4 linked regions of the Schizosaccharomyces pombe genome follow. The gene in region 2 interacts genetically with the main gene of each other region. Each region holds a gene or a part of one and is shown on either strand. Other genes may lie near its edges.

Region 1 (6,334 bases), 1.0 Mb from region 2:
GGTCGTTGCCCATGGAGAAGGTAGAGCTGTTTTCGATTCAGAGTCCGATTACGAACAATTTAAGAAGGAAGGTTTGGATTTGATATACTACGTTAACAACTACAACGAGCGTACTAGCCGTTATCCATTCAACCCTAATGGAAGCAGAGATGCTATAGCTGGTGTTCGCTCCCCTTGTGGTCGCTTTTTAGCTATGATGCCTCACCCTGAACGTGTAGTTTTGAAAGTTGCAAACAGTTATTACCCTCATTCGAAAGCTAGCGAGTGGGGCGTTCATGGTCCTTGGATCCGTCTTTTCCAATCTGCTAGAAAATGGGTTGGTTAAAGCATTTATCTTGCCCGGAGAAGCTGAATTGGAGTTCACATGCCGTAGTTTCTTTACAGTTTTGGTTTGTTTCGTGTTACAAAATTTTATAATTATTCTACTTAAATTAATGGTGAAAATTAGATTAAGCTTGGCAGATATAAAAATCGTTAATTATACATTATTACGATTAAATTGCTTTAACCATCGAGTATATGTGTAAAAATTATGACAACTCTTTTCCTTCAGCAGAAACATACAACAGTCTTGTTAAATGTTAACTCTAGCTACCTGTTTTGCTGTTCTATGTTCCATTGTCGATAATGAGTACAATTACTATTAGCCTTTTACGAGCAATTAAAGCTTCGAATGTATATTCGATTTAAAAATTATTAGCAGTAAGCATGGCTTTTCGTGAAAGCTGACAAAGACGACTAGAAAATAAATATGGAAATGAAATCAATACCTCAGTAGTGCCATTGCCAACAGATTTGACACGTTGATCGTATGTCACATCGTAAGTGGCAGCAACCGCACTGTTTATCCGTTCTTCATATTCCGAAGAATCAAATGCCGATTGATTTGATAAAGCGCATTTCTCTAAGTACTCTTGAGTGTATTTTTTCTTTAGAAGGTCGAACTGAAAGCTAACTTCCTCCCTAAGACCATATTCATTTACGGTTTTAGCTAAATCATCTTTAAAAAGGATAAAAGCTGTGTAAACTTCATATTCTGTGGAAATATCAAAACGAGCCATAATTGATCTCAGGTCATTATCATAGTGTTTCTTCACTTCTTCAGCTACATTCAGATATTCAGTTTTAAACCTTGGAAGTTTCATACAAGGATCATAAACAGTATTCATTATCGGATTATAAGTTGCAGGTCTGCCACTTTCTCTTTGGAATCGTGCAGCGTATCTGAAAATTTTGCCAACCGCGGTTTCGGAACGAAAAGAACGAGTTTTTGTTTTTTGCATGAAGTCAGGATATCGTTTGGGATGGTATTTGGCTTGCATTTTACAAGCTACTCCCGATTTAGCAAAATCTACAGCTTTTGAATGCATTTCTGCAAGTTCTAAACACACATTTCCAAATATCCCTTCCGGATTATTATCATGGTCATGGGCCCATGCCTTCCAAGCATTTGAAATTAGACCTAGCGAATCATATTTTATATAATTCACAAAAAATTCTTTTACCGAATCGATAAGTGGCTTTCCTTCCAAAAAATCTATAGACTTCTTGGGAGATGATTCAAGCAATGGGGGATAATTAACAATTTTAGGAAGAAGACGTTGATCCCATATAACTGTGTACTCATCCCCATCCAGATCACCACCAGAGCACATAGCAGGAATGCTTCGATCACCCGTTGTCGGAAACACTATCACATTTTTTAAATGCATAAGCTCATCGCATCTGACAGCTTTACAGACACGTACGTCACCTGGATGAAGCGAGGGATTCCTTGCAACAATACACAATCCAACTATAACCCTTGTTTTCAGCTTTCCAGTTGAATATGAACCAAAACTGGTAGAAGTGTCGGTAATTTGGATGAAAATTTCAGGTACTGACAAAACAGCATCATCATAATGACCCTTTAGTGTTCCAGTTTCATCAGCTACACCAAGTAAATAGGCACCCTTTGGAACACTAACTTTTTGTTTTTCCTTAATTAACCTAAGAACCCATTCATAATATAGATTTAATAAATTCTCGGTGAAAGCATCATCTCTTTCAAGGAAACCGGCCTGGATAAAATCAGCAATAATTAAAGTAGAGTGATATTCATCTACGTTGTCCCGTAACATTAAAATGGATTTTTGTTTGCTGTTTATCGATTCGTTCATTTTTGACAACTGACTTCTAGTCAATTCCAAAAATACGGTTTTTTCAACCCCGAGTCCTTCCAATAAGGTGATCAGTTGCATATTCAGATGGGCATTTGAAAATCGAGATATTTTAATAACTTCCAAGGTACTATGGAATGATTTAAATTTATCTTGACTACGGCGTGGAAACACAAGATTTCCTTGATGGTATTCAAGCTTAGTCGGAGGAGCTAAAGATAAAACGCCTTTATAACCACCCATACGAAATTGAAACGCAGAGGGAAACATATCATGATTTTTTACTTCCAAAGAAAGTCTTCGAATTACAGATAATGATGCCATTCCAACCCCATCAGTAAAGCAGTGGTTGTTACGAACAATATCATCCTGAAGGGATATGTCAACACAAAATCGATTAATTTCCTTTGTCGTTGAAAAGCATTGTCCCATCCTTGCTGCATACTTAGATACTGAATTGATTTCACTAAAGTCACCCATCCATTCCCTGATCTGTTTGGCATTTAGATCAGATCCCGAAGCAAAAAAGTAAGCACCATGCTCTCTTAATTGAGAATTTCCAAAAGCTAAAAATTCGTAAATTTGATTACCAACTTTAATTCCGTAGGTTAATAATTGTTGGATGCGAGAATACAATTTTTCATTTCTAAACCCATCAGAACCGCCTCGAATTTTTTGCTTATAGTATTCATCAGTTATTTGCACACGCATAAAACGGTTTGCAAAGTCCTTAAAATTTCTTATAACACGATTTCCTGCTTCTAATGAGTCTTCAACTATTCGAAGAGTAGTAGGTGTAACGTACAATTTTTTAATGTGAATAGAAGAAGCGGAAGATAAATCGTAAAAGACAAAAGACTTAGTAAAATCTAGCTCAGAAGGATTTATTAAAGCGGTTTTGGACGTTAGAATTAGTCTTAGGAATTTTTTTGCTCTCTCTTTCGATAATTTCTTTAAATTCGCCAATATAATGGGCAAATCAATTTCTGATAATAAGTTTTTAGAAAGGCAAGCCTGCAAAAGATAAGCAATCTCTTCCTCAATTTCTTTATCATTTATTAGACTACAGCGATGTTTGTAGTCTGGGACAAGATGGAAAACCACTTTATCAAGTTGACTTTTCAAATTGAATTTTTCCAAGTTGTGTAAAAGAAAGGCAATGTCATCTTTATCAGACTCATCCCTTATGGAAAAGCTAAGGACTAAAACATTGCAGCGTCCAATGGGGGCGTTATGGCAATTAAGTAGCTCTATAGGACTAGCAGTCGTTGGTGAAACATTGAAAGGTAGAATATCATAATGTCGTCTCCAAAGATGAGATGCAGTCCAGAAAGTTTGAACTCTGGATTCAGTTGCATTTTTAGATTTTCTGAAAATTAGTGGAGAAAATCTAAATCTAAATACGAGGGAAATATGATCATCGTAATAATCCGTCCCTACATCGCCTATTATGGAATGAAAATCGAAGTCCAGACGAAAGGTTTCGATCTGTTTGTCAAAAGAAGCATCAAAGAGAACACAGAGCTTTTTGAAATTAAAATATACAAGTAAGTTTGATTCAGTTACAGTTATTCCACAATCAACACCAAACAGTGGGACAATTCTTTCATCATAAACTTGCCCGAGCTTAAAGGAGGATAACGGGATTTTTACTAGCTGATCGCTTCTAAAACTATTCTTAGAGAAAACTTGTCGGCTGATGTGGGAACGATGTGCTGTTATGTCAATTTGAACAGCTAGATCAACACCTTTGACATTTATTTTCCCATTTGGTTCCCAGAATGGAACTTTGGGAGGAGGAGCAAATTGGACTATTGCAGTAGTACTTGTCTGTCCATTCAAAGGTTCATTAATCTTCATGAATTCTATTGTACCGTAATCATGAAGGGGTTCCCACAAGTTGTATAGTTTTCCTCCCTCATTTGAAAGCCAAGTAACTGGAATATCTTTTATGACAAGTGTAATCATATCCCCCAATCTCCAAGTACTACTTCTTTGGATTAGACAATTATCATTTCGTTTATTAGCCGAGTGCAACTGAGCTTCATTATTGTGAACGGAAGCCCATTTCTTTTGCTTTTTGTTTCTATATGGGACTCTAAGTCTTTCCCAGGGTGACTCACGAGAATAACGTTTTAATTTAACACTTATAAAGTCATTTAACGAAACTGCCATTGCTTTACATTGCCATACAAAATCTGGATTTAATTATAACCCTGACAACAAATCAATTTGGAACCTTTTGTAAAAATAAAACACTAAATCTCATAGCGCCTTTATGCAGTATCAGCAGCCTCGCTCTGCGAAGTGGTCTTTTATCATAGAAGATTCCTTTCAGCTGGCTATAAATTCGTTAGATACGAAAAACCTTCGATTTATATAAAAAAGATTATAATGTTCCTATTTATCCACTTATACATACATGTATATGTGTGCCTTTTTAATTTAATTGACCGTTATAGTATCAATATCTATGAATTGCTCTTGAAGGAAGTTTGTAGCACGGTGGAATAAAGTTAAGTGAAGGCTCCTTTACGTATAGGGAAGTAGAATCAAAATACTAAGAATACATATTCATCCTATATGAACCGGCAAGTTGAATTTCAGTTTTCAATCCAAAGCAGATATTGAGGTAGTTTTTTCACCAAGGAATAAAAAATTGTTAGGAAACTTCCATCAGTTAAACGACTGATATCATGCACCTTAATTCATGTTCAATATCGTGTTATAATATCTAGCTGATATTTACTATAAATTTATTTTTTAAGCATGGTATATAATTTGAGCTACGTAGCTTTACTCGTTTCAAAATTAAGTGCAGCCCTGATATTCCAAACCCCTCGTCAGCGCTTGATTTTACAAACACGTCCAACTACTTCGGCAAAGCAAACAACTTAATAGATTTTTAAAAATAGAGCAATTGCTCAAGGATAAATTAATTTATTATTCCTATTTGTAAATACCACAAATAGGTTCTTCATTCCCTTATTTTAATTGGTAAATTGTTAAACTTATTTCAAATGTGAAGCATTCAATTTAACATCCTTTAGATACATAATATTTATTCTTCTATCAGAAACTTGAAAAAAAAATGCCTGACAATCCATCTTCTTTTGAAGATGAATTCATGTACGCAGCTAGAGAATATCGGGTGTTTGAGCTAATTTTTTGTTAGGAAATCTAATCATTTAAGTGTTGCTTCGGAGTCCATACCAAATGAAAGCCAAAGACAGGTATGTACTGAAGTTAAATAAAAACAACCTATTACTAAAACTGCTTTTTAAAAGTCACCGACGCGATTACGAGTCGGTACCTCTAAAACAGATGATATTTATCGACAAAAACGGCAAACAAAACATATCATTTCACAAAATGAAGTTTTTTTACAGCCTAAATTTTTCGATAATCAAAATTTTGATGCTCAAAGCTGTATGTGTAATTATGTCTATTGGAAACTAATTTTGCAAAAAAGATTTAAACGATGTTTTACAGGACCTTAGTGAAGATGAATTTGTGTCTTTATACAATAAGCTTCTACGCATTCACATGGGCGTCCGTAAAAATTTGGAAAAGAATTTTTACAAAAATTTGAATGAATATGTATTTATATCAGGGGAGGTTGAGAGCATGACTTCAGATTTTAAAAAGTTTCAGTCTCTGTTGAAAACCCTGGAGACTGACATTGAAGGATTAAACTTGGTCGACCATACGCATGACCCTTCCGACGAATCAATAAAACAAACGGTACAGAGACTACGATCATCCATTGAAGGGCTAGATGAAGCATTCTGGGAAGCGCCTCAAAGACAGCTTATATGTGAGCAATACAATTGGATGTTAATCAATATTGACAATCAGAGACCTAAGCTTCTTGTCAATATGCTTCTGTTTAATGATAGACTGTTGGTTACTACTTCTCACATGAAAGAAGTTGATTTCCCTGCTAAGCAGCAGGTTTTGTATAATTGGAATTTAACCGAAATTTCTATTTCTTCAATTGAAACTTATGGACCAGCAGGTGCTGAAATGCTGCAGAAGGAGAAAGAGGTCTCTCTATACAAACTGTCAATTAACCATAACAATAAGACCACATTGTTGGCAGTACACAATAGTGAAGAAAGGGATTATATGGTTCGTCAGGCTCGCCATCACCAGCTTCAAGAACTAGAAAATTG
Region 2 (4,883 bases):
CAAGTCGACCCTTCAGAATTAGTTGCTTATGAAGGTACTTATGGCGTATTTTTTGTCCTTTTAGGAATGATTATTTCTTACTATTTTATCGGTTCTACTACTGCTGGATACCACGGGTGGTTTGACTATTCACACGTTATATCTCGATTTAATGAAGTCCCTGCACTCTATGTTATTTCTGGAGTTATTTTGGTATCTATTGCGTAAGTTCATGTTAAAAAATTGACCATTCGTATTTACTAACGTTCCAACCTTAGTTTTTTCAACGTTTCCGGCTTAGCCATTACAAAACTTCACTCAGCTACTACCCGATCTCTTTTAGATATTGCTCGAACATTCGGAATTTGGATTATTGCTATGGCAATGGGGATGGAGTCATTCCATTTACTTCAATTCTTGGGATTCGTGCTTCTTATTTATGGCATATTTACTTACCATTCTATCATCAAATTTCCTCTCGCCGAATCGTAATTTCTTAACTAGTTTCATCGTTTATGCAAAATTACTACAGATCCATAGTGAGTTTAAGGTGTTGATTAATTTATTACTGGTATTCGAGTTTACTGGCTAAATCGTAAGTATAATCTATAAAGATAATTTATTAATACAATTATCAAACTATAATCATAATTGATAATAAAACCTTTTATCCCTCTATATAACCTGGTATTTTACATGTAAATTAACTAAAAACGTTTGCGTATTTTTTTCGCTCGAGATTCTTCATCTGAAGCAGTGGTGTCCTCAATAATAGGTACTTCGTCTTCCGAATCGTCACTGCTTATGTTAAATAATTTACTGGGATTAGCTCGAGAATTAGAGGAGGACTGCTCTCCCGTAGATGTCAAAGCTTGCTTCTGAAAATTTTCATGGCCGTTGGTTTCAATTGATTCATTTACTTTAAACAAATCATCCTTTGCAGCATCTGTTTCGTCTGAATCGGATTCATCCTCAACATATTGCAAACCAACGTCTTGCAATGGAAGCTTGTCGACATCAATACTTGCTAAAGCATCCACTTCCACTAAAGGTTCTAAAGGAACTGGATTATTCTTATAACATTTTAACATATGCTCACGATGTTGACGAACCCCTTCATCAACTGATAATATGGTACTTAGGATACTAGGGAAATCTTTGACTCGATTGACACCCTCTCTTTCTATACGAGATGCGAGTGCGTATAATTTACTAGTTAGCAAATCAAAGCCATTTGCAAATGTAGCCTTTACGCGTAATAATCCACGACTAGATTTAGAAACATCATTTTGGAAATCTACCGGATCTTGGATTGAAAGCAAATAAGGCTGGTTTGGCTTCAGCCAACCCATCTTCTTTTTTGAAAAATAAAAACCACCATTGTGAACAGCGATACCGACAGCATCATAATAAAATTGTTTTCCGTACAACTCCAAAAACTCTAGCAGCAAAACACCAAAATTGTCTTCTTCACGCATAGAACCTGTACTAAGTCTAGGGTGTAATTGAAGAAAAGAAACAACCAAACAAACAATCGCATAGCTACTTAATCCGCCCAAGAAGACTTCGTTTAGCGCTCGCATGTTCAAAAAATGTTTAATAATTATTACTAACGGCCTAAGAGCAGGGTATTTTTTCATGAAACCGTTCACTACCAGACATGTCTTCAAACCTCCAGGTTGATTAAAAGATATGTCAACATGAACTTTGGTTAACGGATCAACGAACTTGATGATTGGAACGTTAGCAGTAGTAATGACCTGGACTTCAGAAGCAAGTTTTAGCTTCTTTAGATGATGAGCAAGAACAAACATATCTTTTTTTGTACCCCGATAATGATGCTCAGGTGATATTATTACAAGATCAAGGTCTGAAGTAGGTAAATATAATTTGGTTTCAAAACTTCCAAAAACATAAAGTGATACATCTGGCCATTTTTGCAAGACAGCTTGATTTATACGAGAAACAAGCGTCTTCCGAACCGCATGCTCTTCAGGAGTCGGAGTAATATAGTCAATAAAGTGAAGAATGTCTTGGTGAAAAATTCTAGAGACTTCTCGCTCTACCTTATACTGACGGTGCCAAGGGCATGATTGAGAATCAAGCTCATACGCTTGGCGTTTTCGTTTACGGTTAGAATCCGATTTTTCATTTGCTTCATGAAAAAATCGGCCTCGTTGACGCATAAAGCCAGGGATCTCATTTTTAGAAGACTTTTTTAAGGACTCATTATTCTTGCTTTTATCATTACTAACACTATCCTCGTCTTCATCGCTGTTCCAATCGAACTTGATAAAATCAGAATTATTTTCGACAGCCTTGTCGTGTACAGGGTTAGTTTTTCTACCTTCTCTTTTTGGTATACCTAAAAGAATGGTAGGTTCACCACGTTTTATTGCTTCCTCTGGTAAATCAGGTTTTTCCAGCGGCTCTAATGGATCGGCTTTTCCAAATTGAATATATGGATCGTTTTTGTTTGAAATTTCTACTCCACCTTTATCACGTATTCCTTCTGAATCATTATCATTACGTGATTTTTTACTTCCAATTTCAACCATGGGTTCTTCTTGATCCAGAAGCGTAAAATTGTTATTCAGAAGCATTTCGTCATAAGCGTCTGAATTTTTATCCTTTTCCTTTCTTTTAGATTTAAATTTACTCGGTTTATCGTTTTTAAAAATCCTCCTTGGAAGTGGTTCAGTTCTCTCATTTTTACGCTTTTTATAATTATTGCGGTTAAATGACACGCTTTTTTTACCCATCTCTAAGACATGGATAGAATGGTTTTCTATACCTATCTTGTAGAATTCTTATAAAAATCAATATATGACTAATTGAACCACAATTATTAATCACATAAGATCTTTGAAAATTTGGTGGTGAACAACTTACTAAATGTAGCATACCTAACTATTAACGATTTATTTACGAAAATCGTTGACACTCGGTAATTCAATTTGGGGAACATCTTGTATGGAGAGCGAGATATAGAAGTGCTTGTCGAGTATGAATGGTATAATGTAAATTGTTGCTTAGTTATCATTAAAAAAAAAATTAGTGTAGGTTTTGCTTTGCCAAACCCAATTTTTAGTATGAATCCAGTGAGCTGCGGTGTGAATTTTTTTTTTTTTAAATCTAATTAATGCCAAGTAAATATGTTTTTCAAATAACAAAGAAATGTATTATCGATAGTTTTGAGGATACCCATCTTGTGACTTTGAGGTGAGACCTGGGATAAAAGAGTTTTGAGTTGACGGCTCAGCGTATGAATTGCTCAAAGATGCATGAAGCATACCGGGAATTTGAGGTTGTCCATGTTGATAAGGCGATGGAAAGGAGGGCATAGTCCCTAAACCCGGAAGATTAAGTACTCCAGAAAATTGGGGATTATGGGCATTTGCTAATGTTTCGGTGAGAGGGTTTTCGTCAGGTTCATAATTATCGTCTTCTTCGATCGCTGCTTTTCTCTGACTTAGCATGGCCTCAGACTGTTCTTCACCTAAATGATGGCGATCCATGGTGGATTCCTTGTCATCTGGGCGAGATCTTGACCAAAAACGTGTAGTTTTATCATTTGAACCTGTACATAAAAGATGTCCAAGAGGATGATATTGCATACTCCAAATACCCAAATCATGAGCAAATGGAATTTCAGCAGTAGGGTATAGTAAATAAGAAGACGCGGAAAGAGTAACATTTGGATGCTTTTCATGATACTTTTGCTGAGAAAGTAATGGAGGTTCATCAAGTGAATAATGATTGACACTTCCATCGGAGCCACCAGTAGTAAGCAAATTAGGATAAAGAGGATGCCATGTTACGCAGTTTACGTCCTTTTCATGACCACGTAAAACTCGAACGTCCTTCATGGCACGTAAGTCAAATACTCGACAAGTGCTATCCCTAGAGACTGTAGCCAAATAATTTGATCCAAAATTTTTCTGAAAAGATGCTTGCATTATTGTGTTTTTATGACCATGCAAAGTCGCAATACATGTACCGGTTCTTGGATCCCAAAATTTCACTAAATTGTCTTTAGAACCAGAAGCCAAGAGACCTTTTGAAGGATGCCAATCGACGGTTTTTACATCCCATCCATGACCAGTTAGTTTCAGCTCTTCAGTACTCATATGGAAATTCCATACTTTTAATGAACCATCATCACTCGCTGTGACAAATTTGCTATCATTGGGTGAAAAGGCAACATCTCTAACTTCCATTTCATGAGCTTGAACAATTTTGACATTGTTTAAATTCGGTTCAAAATACTTTACCATGCCTCCTCCATCGCCGGAAATAAGCCAGCGCCCATCTGTACTCCATTCAGCACAACGAACGGCATAATCATGACTCTGATTAATTAACTCAAAATTAAATGTGAGACCATTCCACAGAGTAAATTCACCAGTTGAAGAACCTGTCAACAGTCTTCGACCATCTGGAGTCCAGCGCACAACGTTAATAACATGTCTAGCTTTATTTGCAGACGTATGAATATATTTGGTGCACAAGGAAGATGTGTTATTATACTTGTATTCATAAGGGGGATACAAGTTAATTATTTGATTCGGATTTGGTCTCGGTACATGTATGTGATAGCGATTGCTACGCAAATGTCGATTGACAATATACTTTGATAGCCCTGATCCATAGTCCACAGTCCTACGAGTCATAGGCTTTTGAATAATTCTAGCATTTTCAGCTCTTTCCATGATGAATTAACCAATTCCCCAAAGATGTGAAATTCCTTATTTAGCAGCAATAAAATCAATCTTTAATTTAAATAAAACCAACTTAAAGTTCCTTCTAATGTAGTATAAACTTTACCGTTTTTCGTATGGTATTCTAATATATAGATATTTGGCGCGTTTTACGTGCTGGGAAAATGAGCTAGTATGACTTTG
Region 3 (3,496 bases), on a different chromosome or scaffold from region 2:
ATCATCAAAGGAAACATCGATTTCGCTGGGTAGAACGAGCTGTGATGCAACAATCTGCTCATACTCATTTAATTCCAGAGTCTCCAATTCCTTGACTTGTTCCCCAGCCCACTCATCAAGTCGCTTACGGCTTTTGGAAACTGTATCCTGCCTTTTTTGTCGATACGGATCTAAAGTAGACAAAAGTTTATGTGCTGCGTACCAAGAGCAACCAAATGCTAAGGCATAGACAACGATCTCTTTAATTGCCCTTTTAGTCGTCGGATTCATAATCAATTCCCCAGTAATAAACTTCAAAATGCAAGCACACAAAATTTTATGCAGTAAATTTGTCTGGTGGCACGCTACTACTATTGGGGCGGTTGGTATGTTCAGCTAAATGGGTAAAGAAGATATACAAAGTTGATCGTACTTTGCTACATTGTTTGGAAAATATATTCATTGAAAAAATTATTTTTAAATAAAAAATTTTCATTTTCCTAAAGAAACAATCCCAATGGTTTCAAAGCGCAGTTATCAATTATCAAAAGTGGTAATGTAACAATAAATATTTACTCTCTGTGCCAAAAGATTTGGTTATAGATGAAATAACAATTAGTAAACAATAATAATTAAGCAGAGATTTTTTCTGAGTAAATAACCCATTGAAAAATGAGAATAAAAATGGAGCGAGAAACCTTTTAGGAGATTTGGATATACTTATAAATATCCAAAAGGGAACCTAACGGAACTATATACAAAACAATAAAGGACATATCAAGACTAAATCGCTATGCCCGTCCAGTGAAGCTCACTGTTTAACATATCCTAAACGGAAAAACCATTCCTATCATTCGTAAATTCACGAAAATTTTTAAATTATATACAATTTTTTCCTCCTAGGATTTATTTGGCCTTGTATTGAGTCGAACTTGACGACGAAGGATTTTCACCTTCACTAGCAATGCCTTCTTCTGAATCAGATTCGGGATTACTAGGAGGATGCAATATAGACTGTAGGTGGTTCATTTGCTTTAAAGTTTCATCAAAAATATCTTTTCTCAAATTCCATGCTTTTACATAATTCGCGTTTTCTTCTTCTAACTCACGAATAGCATCTTGCAACTTTCCTATTGATCTGTAAACCCGGTCAGTCTAAAATATTCAATATAAATCTGGAAACTTACTCTTGTTGTTCTGTTCTTGATCTCAATCCTTTTGACATTATTGGCTTGGCCAACTCGTCGTATTGTTCACGCTTTCTTAATTCTTCTTGGGCAACTAGTAAATCTTGCTCAAGCTGGCTTATTTCGGTTTTTTCTGCTTCACAAAATGTTTCTGAAAATATTAATAAAAACATCACTGTACTTAAAGTTACGAATTTAATCACATACGAGTCTTCTTCAGTTCTCCTTCGTAAACATCCACTTCTTTAGCATTCATGTCTAATTGCATTTGCAATCGAAGCCAAAAAGCAGAGAGAGCAGAAAATTCAATTTCTAAATCCCTTAAGTTTGCTTCGTCTACATTTTGAGCAGCAAAACCAAGACACCGACTAATCAACCGTTTCAAAGGCCGTTCTTCCACAGTTAAGCGCGATCGAATCGCCGTCTCTGACATATCGGTTAACTTAATATTTTCAAAAAAAAAATTATTTATAGCATACCCTCCATAATGAATTGAGTAAAAAAAAAGCAAATTCACTATACAATTTAGTTGGGCGCTAAGTCAGTAGCTGGAGTGTTCGGAGTTTTAGTCACCGTATTTTACCGATGTTTACCGGCAAAAAGTTATTAGTACGATTATTACCTAAGAAATGTAAAAACGCTAACAAGGATTGCAGTTTGATATTGCTATAGAACAGGCGGGCAAAATGATTTTACCTCTTTTTCCAGAGACACAAGTTCATGTTTTTGTATATGAAAATGTTTCTAACTGTGCTGCGATTCATGAACAACTAATAAGCCAGAATCCCATTTATGACTATGCGTTTCTCGATGCCGCTACTATTCTATATAAAAAGCAGGTTTATAGCGCTATTATTAGGGCTCTCGAAGATAGAAGGGACGAACAAATGAAAACTAAGACGATTCACTCAGAGGTTATTTTGTCATTGTCCCCAAAAACCGAAATTTCTAGTGCGTTCCGACAATTCAGCATGACAAAAAAATCTAAAAACATTGTAGTGGTAAAAATTGATAGCAAACTTACAGAAGAAGAAGAATTTGAGCGCTTGGACAAACTTGTGGAAGGTAATAGGGTCGAATTTTCTGACGAAGAGTTACAAAAATTAATAGACTTCAAGGTGTTAAAAAAGAATTACAAATTGGATCCCTCTACGCTTGAGAATCCTTTGGCCTCTATATTATCTTCGATAGCTCTACGTGGTTATTCTTAAAAACATATGTTCTAGCAAATCTGATCTTTTGTCAATGTTTCACAATTGATTTGACTATTTTTCTATGCGGCTTGAATGATAATGATGAGAGTTCCAAATGGAACGTTGTGTGGATTCTTCTATTCCTTATAATTTTTTCCTCTCTCAAATGACTGTACAAACTATTTAGCAAGCACCTACATAATCAATTTTTGATTTACGAATTGGTAAAGGATGGCACGTAAAGTTATGCCCTCTGGTTTGGTTCAGTTTTATGATCTCTTGACAGTTTTACTAAAGTAACTAAGGGCATTTCATTACGATTATCTGTTTCGATACTTTTACCTAGGGAATGCTTTAGTGTTATTTGACATCATGTTTTGTTCTTGTGCAATATTTTTTGCTCAGGTCTATTGGCGATGAATTACTATATGGTGGATCTCAGTGCAAAAAGTTTACCATTATGTGAATAGTTATTAAAAGTTTAATGGGATTATAAATTAATGGGTTTTTTATTGCGCACCTTATGCTCCTGTTATAAAGAAAAGCAGGTCGCAAAGGTAAGAACTATTTTTATACAACAATAAAGGTTTTTACATCGTATGTTTTACAATTAACTGGCAGCTCTTTGTCAAAATTGTTTATTTACGGATTTAACTTGCCTTCTTGCGGTATTGACTGCTAAGCCGGAATTTGTGATATCAAGCCATCCGTTTCCCAGTCACGCGAAAACTCTTCCTTATGGAAATTTCATTTTAACAAGTACAAATCTGTTAAAACTACATTCATATAATCATATGCAGGCAGCCGATTAGAGAAAAACTAAATTTCTTAGGCAGAATTGTCATTATCCGTCAATACCGCGTTTTTTTTATTTTCCGCTTTGATTTTTTTTATCATTCTTTTTGGTTCTTTTATTTTTGTTTTTATTTGTTTTGTTTTCTTTTTTTCCTTTTCAAAAGTCATTTGAAGACAAAAACTCAACGTTGAAGAGAGCATTTGTTCATCTGTTGACTTTTCGCCAATACACCTGTTTTTTTATGGACTTGCTAAGTATAGTGTAAATTTAACGCTGTCGTTGATCCGTATGATTTCTTTTGATTAATTTAAATCGTTATATGTGACACTAGCAATTTTTGC
Region 4 (3,621 bases), on a different chromosome or scaffold from region 2:
AATGAACGGCAAGCATCTACATTTATGCTTCATTTGATTGAGCAGAGTTATGCAAACAAACGTACGCTTATGTACGATCAATTCCAGAAGGCCACAAATGGTAAGATGATTTTAAGCAATATAAATGAGCAACTAATTACTAACTTTTTTAAGGTATTCCTTATTAATATAAAACAACCAGCAATAATAATTATTATCCGTTTAAGTACCTTGCAGCTAAGTTTATTAGATCTAATATAACGATCATTCAGTCATAATAGTTTCTTCTGCAATGTCTTTTTTGTATTGTAGTACGATAATTTATCACATTAACTATTGAATAATGAAACGCGTTTACAGGTATCGCATTGTCAAGTATCTGTTGTATATTTTAGCATATGGCAACTCACTCTTGTAAAGGCTTTATGAATGTTAATTTAAAAAAAAAACAACTTCAAATAACTAGGTATGTATTTTTGAGTCATTTGCTGCCTGCCATTTTTTACTAGGATATAAATAAATTATGGTAACTTTCCTTCTAACAAATACGAATATGAAGAAAAGATCAGAAACATTAGGCTCGGATCAATCTAGGTATGAAAGTAAAGGGAAAAATAATTATAAACGTATACTAATTAAATCAGCTCTGAAATAATTGAGCATGTTTTGGAAGAGTTAAACCTCAAAAACATTGAAAGACGCGTCAAAAAGTATGACCAAATTGAAAGCGAATACAAGACCAATATAGAAAATGAGAAAAAGGCTTTTATAAAGGATGTTTCCCAGGTTCAACAGAAAATGTACGAAAATAAAACGGTAATCCTGGCAGTCATTAACATCAAATTATAGAAAGGAATTTGAGATACAAAAAGCGAATCAAATTAAACAATTGAACGAAGAAAAGCTTTCTATAGAAGCTAGAAAACAACAACTCGAAATCGAAATACGCAATCAGTTGTTACAGTATGCCGAGAAACTGCGAATTGTTGTTAAAACCCCAATGAACCAACCAACAAATACAGAAGTATAAAGTCATTTTAAACACATTATATAAACTAGTGCCATAAAATCATAAAACGAATTAAAAATATGTTATGAGCATACAATTTAATTGAAACTTCAAACTTGAGAATTGAAAAAGTAAAGTGAGGCTAATCGTTTCTAAAAATCTAAATCCGTTCTTTTTATTAAACGCTAAAAAATGGGTAGTAAATGAAATGAATAAACACATAAGTTTTCATGGGAATAATTTACATGGAGGTAATGTTATAGTACTCCTGGACAGGCACGCTGGAGCGAAGGAAAGTCTGCAGCTTTTCATCTCCTTTCTGCAATGCATTCCTCTTTGCTTTATTTTCAGATATTAATGCAGCTTTCCTCTTTAAAAGTTCCTGCTTTAAGGTGGAAAGTCGTTGACGTTCTTTCAGTTCGTCTTCAAGAATCGCAAGCATTAGATCATGATCATTCGAACTCTTAAATTCCGGGTGTTCCTTCAAAAATTCTTCTTTTGAGACGAGTGGTAACGCTGTGTATATATGTCTATTAAAATGGTTAGAAAGAAATGAACAAAGACTTTTGAAATCTGAAAAAAAAAAAAAAAAAGGTAAGGAACTTTCACGTACTCCTTTTCTTCGTAATTTTTTATTATCGTTTTTAAATGCAGCTTTTTGTACTGTAACGCCTGAAGCCGTATACGGGCGTTATCGAGTTCAGACTTGTGTTCGGCTGTTATAGTCTTTGCTTGTACGAGCTGTTCGTAAGATTTTCTATTTGCTTCTCGCAAGATTAAGAGCTTTGACATTAACTGTCGTTTAATTTGCTCGGGATTTTGATCGTCGGCATCTCTGCTATGCTGTTTCAACTCATGAATTCGCAAACACAATGTTCGAGTTGAGTCAAGAACGTTCAAACAATCTGATATTGCATTTTCTGTCATTTTTACGACGAAATACTACTCTTTCTTGGAAATTTTGTAGGAGGAGGTTTCCAAATTGTTTAAAAGAGTAGACGTTTGGGCTTAACTCGTCAACTCAGTATAGCTACGCCTTTACTACCATAAAGGTTAACTGACTAAAACTAACTTCTTATAAGTTGAGCCTTGAATTTATTGTATATATTTGAGAGATTTTCGTTGAATGTCTTTTCAATCAGAGTTCTCGTAAAACTATTTTACTAAACATCAAATCACGTTTTTTTTATCCGTTGCATATATTCAACTTCACGGTTCGGTATCATTTTGATTGATACTGTAAACATTTGGAATAAGTGAGTATTTGGCTATTGAAGAGTCGGTAAAAAAAAGTGTGCTTTCAATGAAAATTAATCAAAATACTACTGTTGATTGCGGCAACTTGATTCTCGTGCCATATCAAAAATGCCATGTGTTAAAATACCATAACTGGATGAAAAATGAGGAATTGCAAGAGCTTACTTGTTCAGAGCCTTTAACTCTTGACGAAGAATATCAAATGCAGGCCTCATGGAGTACTGATGAAGATAGTATGTTATGATGGTTCAACATTCGTGATTGATCAATTGCATCACAAGTTCTAATCATTTTCTAACGATATAGAGCTGACGTTTATCGTTTTACTAAACGAAAACGATGAAGCTAAGAAACCTTCAATTTTGGATCATGTAAAAGCCCACAGCGTTGAATCAATGATTGGGGATGTGAACATGTTTTTGACTGAGGAATACGCAGACGGTATAGAAGAATTTGATGATTCTCCCAGTGATGCTAATGCTACCAATGCTACGAAGGAGTCAGAGGTACATATAGTAGGTGAACTTGAATTGATGATTGCAGAGCCTCAGAATAGAAGGAAAGGATATGGAACCAAGATTGTAGATGCATTTTTGCACTATGTTGAATCCAGTGGAATTGCCAAAAATAAGCAAATCCTTAAGTATCGAGTCAAAGTTGGCTCCCAAAACAAGCCTAGTATTCGGCTATTCAAGAAATTGGGCTTCTCTCAAGTTAAGTACAACGCTTATTTTGATCATGTAGAGCTTGAACTAATGAGGACTTCATAAGCGATGCAACAACGCTTAAAGTTATTTACTTGTTTACTTTATGCAAGTGTTACATGCAGCGAACTACTTTAAAAGGGTTTATTAAAAATTGTTTTCTACACAACCCTATGGCTAATTATACCTCTCATCTCGCAACAACAATTATTTACATACAGACCTTTATTTTATAATCGCGAATTGGGTCTGCTTATAAAATTCGTGAACAACTTGGATAATTTCACCGATTTCTACTCTTCGATTTTTACATTACATTACAAAATAATATGAATACAATCTTTATTGATCATTTTACTTTTGAAAAAGAAAATTTTTGTTTTTAACTGAATGCAAAAACCATGAGAGGTTTCTTTTTCATTAATCACTCAACCAGAAACTTTATGCCTTCTTTCCAACCTCAGTAACGGTCAAATCTATAGAAAACTTGTTAGCTTGAGTTCACTTATATGAACGATTAACTCAGAGCTGATCATTTGTTTCACGAATTATCAACGCTTTAGGAAGAATTCCTTCGCAAAATGCTTTAAGGAAATGTAGTTCCCTCAATAAAAAGTAACTGAGTTAATCTTTCTTAGTAGTTTATATAACATACCGGGAGGAAGAGATTGA

Evidence for each region.
Region 1: mutations in cid14 (region 2) and rdp1 are lethal when combined (synthetic lethality), as found in Schizosaccharomyces pombe (one study listed by BioGRID).
Region 3: mutations in cid14 (region 2) and tho7 impair growth when combined (synthetic growth defect), as found in Schizosaccharomyces pombe (one study listed by BioGRID).
Region 4: mutations in cid14 (region 2) and tho5 impair growth when combined (synthetic growth defect), as found in Schizosaccharomyces pombe (one study listed by BioGRID).

What each region holds. Positions count from the first base shown.
Region 1 is NC_003424.3:1,323,253-1,329,586, reverse strand, and holds rdp1 (RNA-directed RNA polymerase (RDRC) Rdp1), read right to left. Parts: upstream 4,647-6,334; 5' UTR 4,582-4,646; exon of another isoform or gene 4,502-4,581; 5' UTR 4,335-4,501; coding exon 687-4,334; 3' UTR 526-686; downstream 1-525. Other genes in the region: phosphoribosylformylglycinamidine synthase Ade3, read left to right, coding at 1-325; exo8 (exocyst complex subunit Exo84), read left to right, coding at 5,251-5,288, 5,335-5,392, 5,447-5,588, 5,632-6,334.
Region 2 is NC_003424.3:319,782-324,664, reverse strand, and holds cid14 (TRAMP complex poly(A) polymerase subunit Cid14), read right to left. Parts: upstream 2,861-4,883; 5' UTR 2,742-2,860; coding exon 687-2,741; 3' UTR 536-686; downstream 1-535. Other genes in the region: gms2 (NST UDP-galactose transporter), read left to right, coding at 1-203, 258-471; mRNA cleavage and polyadenylation specificity factor complex, WD repeat protein Pfs2, read right to left, coding at 3,162-4,691. UniProt on the Schizosaccharomyces pombe protein: Required for 3' polyadenylation of the 5.8S and 25S rRNAs as a prelude to their degradation in the exosome. Involved in the nucleolar organization to ensure faithful chromosome segregation during mitosis.
Region 3 is NC_003421.2:919,570-923,065, forward strand, and holds tho7 (THO complex subunit Tho7), read right to left. Parts: upstream 1,682-3,496; 5' UTR 1,653-1,681; coding exon 1,646-1,652; intron 1,629-1,645; exon of another isoform or gene 1,593-1,628; coding exon 1,374-1,592; exon of another isoform or gene 1,318-1,373; coding exon 1,167-1,317; exon of another isoform or gene 1,118-1,166; coding exon 886-1,117; 3' UTR 517-885; downstream 1-516. Other genes in the region: yta4 (ATPase Msp1), read right to left, coding at 1-270; EKC/KEOPS complex subunit Cgi121, read left to right, coding at 1,853-2,377.
Region 4 is NC_003423.3:754,954-758,574, reverse strand, and holds tho5 (THOC5-like protein), read right to left. Parts: upstream 1,999-3,621; 5' UTR 1,916-1,998; coding exon 1,602-1,915; intron 1,519-1,601; coding exon 1,230-1,518; 3' UTR 1,010-1,229; coding exon of another isoform or gene 829-1,009; 3' UTR 780-828; coding exon of another isoform or gene 624-779; 3' UTR 574-623; downstream 1-573. Other genes in the region: 1-phosphatidylinositol 4-kinase Stt4, read left to right, coding at 1-100, 154-167; meiotic recombination protein Rec27, read left to right, coding at 533-573, 624-779, 829-1,009; SPOM_SPBC577.03C (GCN5-related N-acetyltransferase), read left to right, coding at 2,292-2,478, 2,552-3,015; rpl3801 (60S ribosomal protein eL38), read right to left, coding at 3,391-3,425, 3,605-3,621. UniProt on the Schizosaccharomyces pombe protein: Component the THO subcomplex of the TREX complex, which operates in coupling transcription elongation to mRNA export. The THO complex is recruited to transcribed genes and moves along the gene with the elongating polymerase during transcription.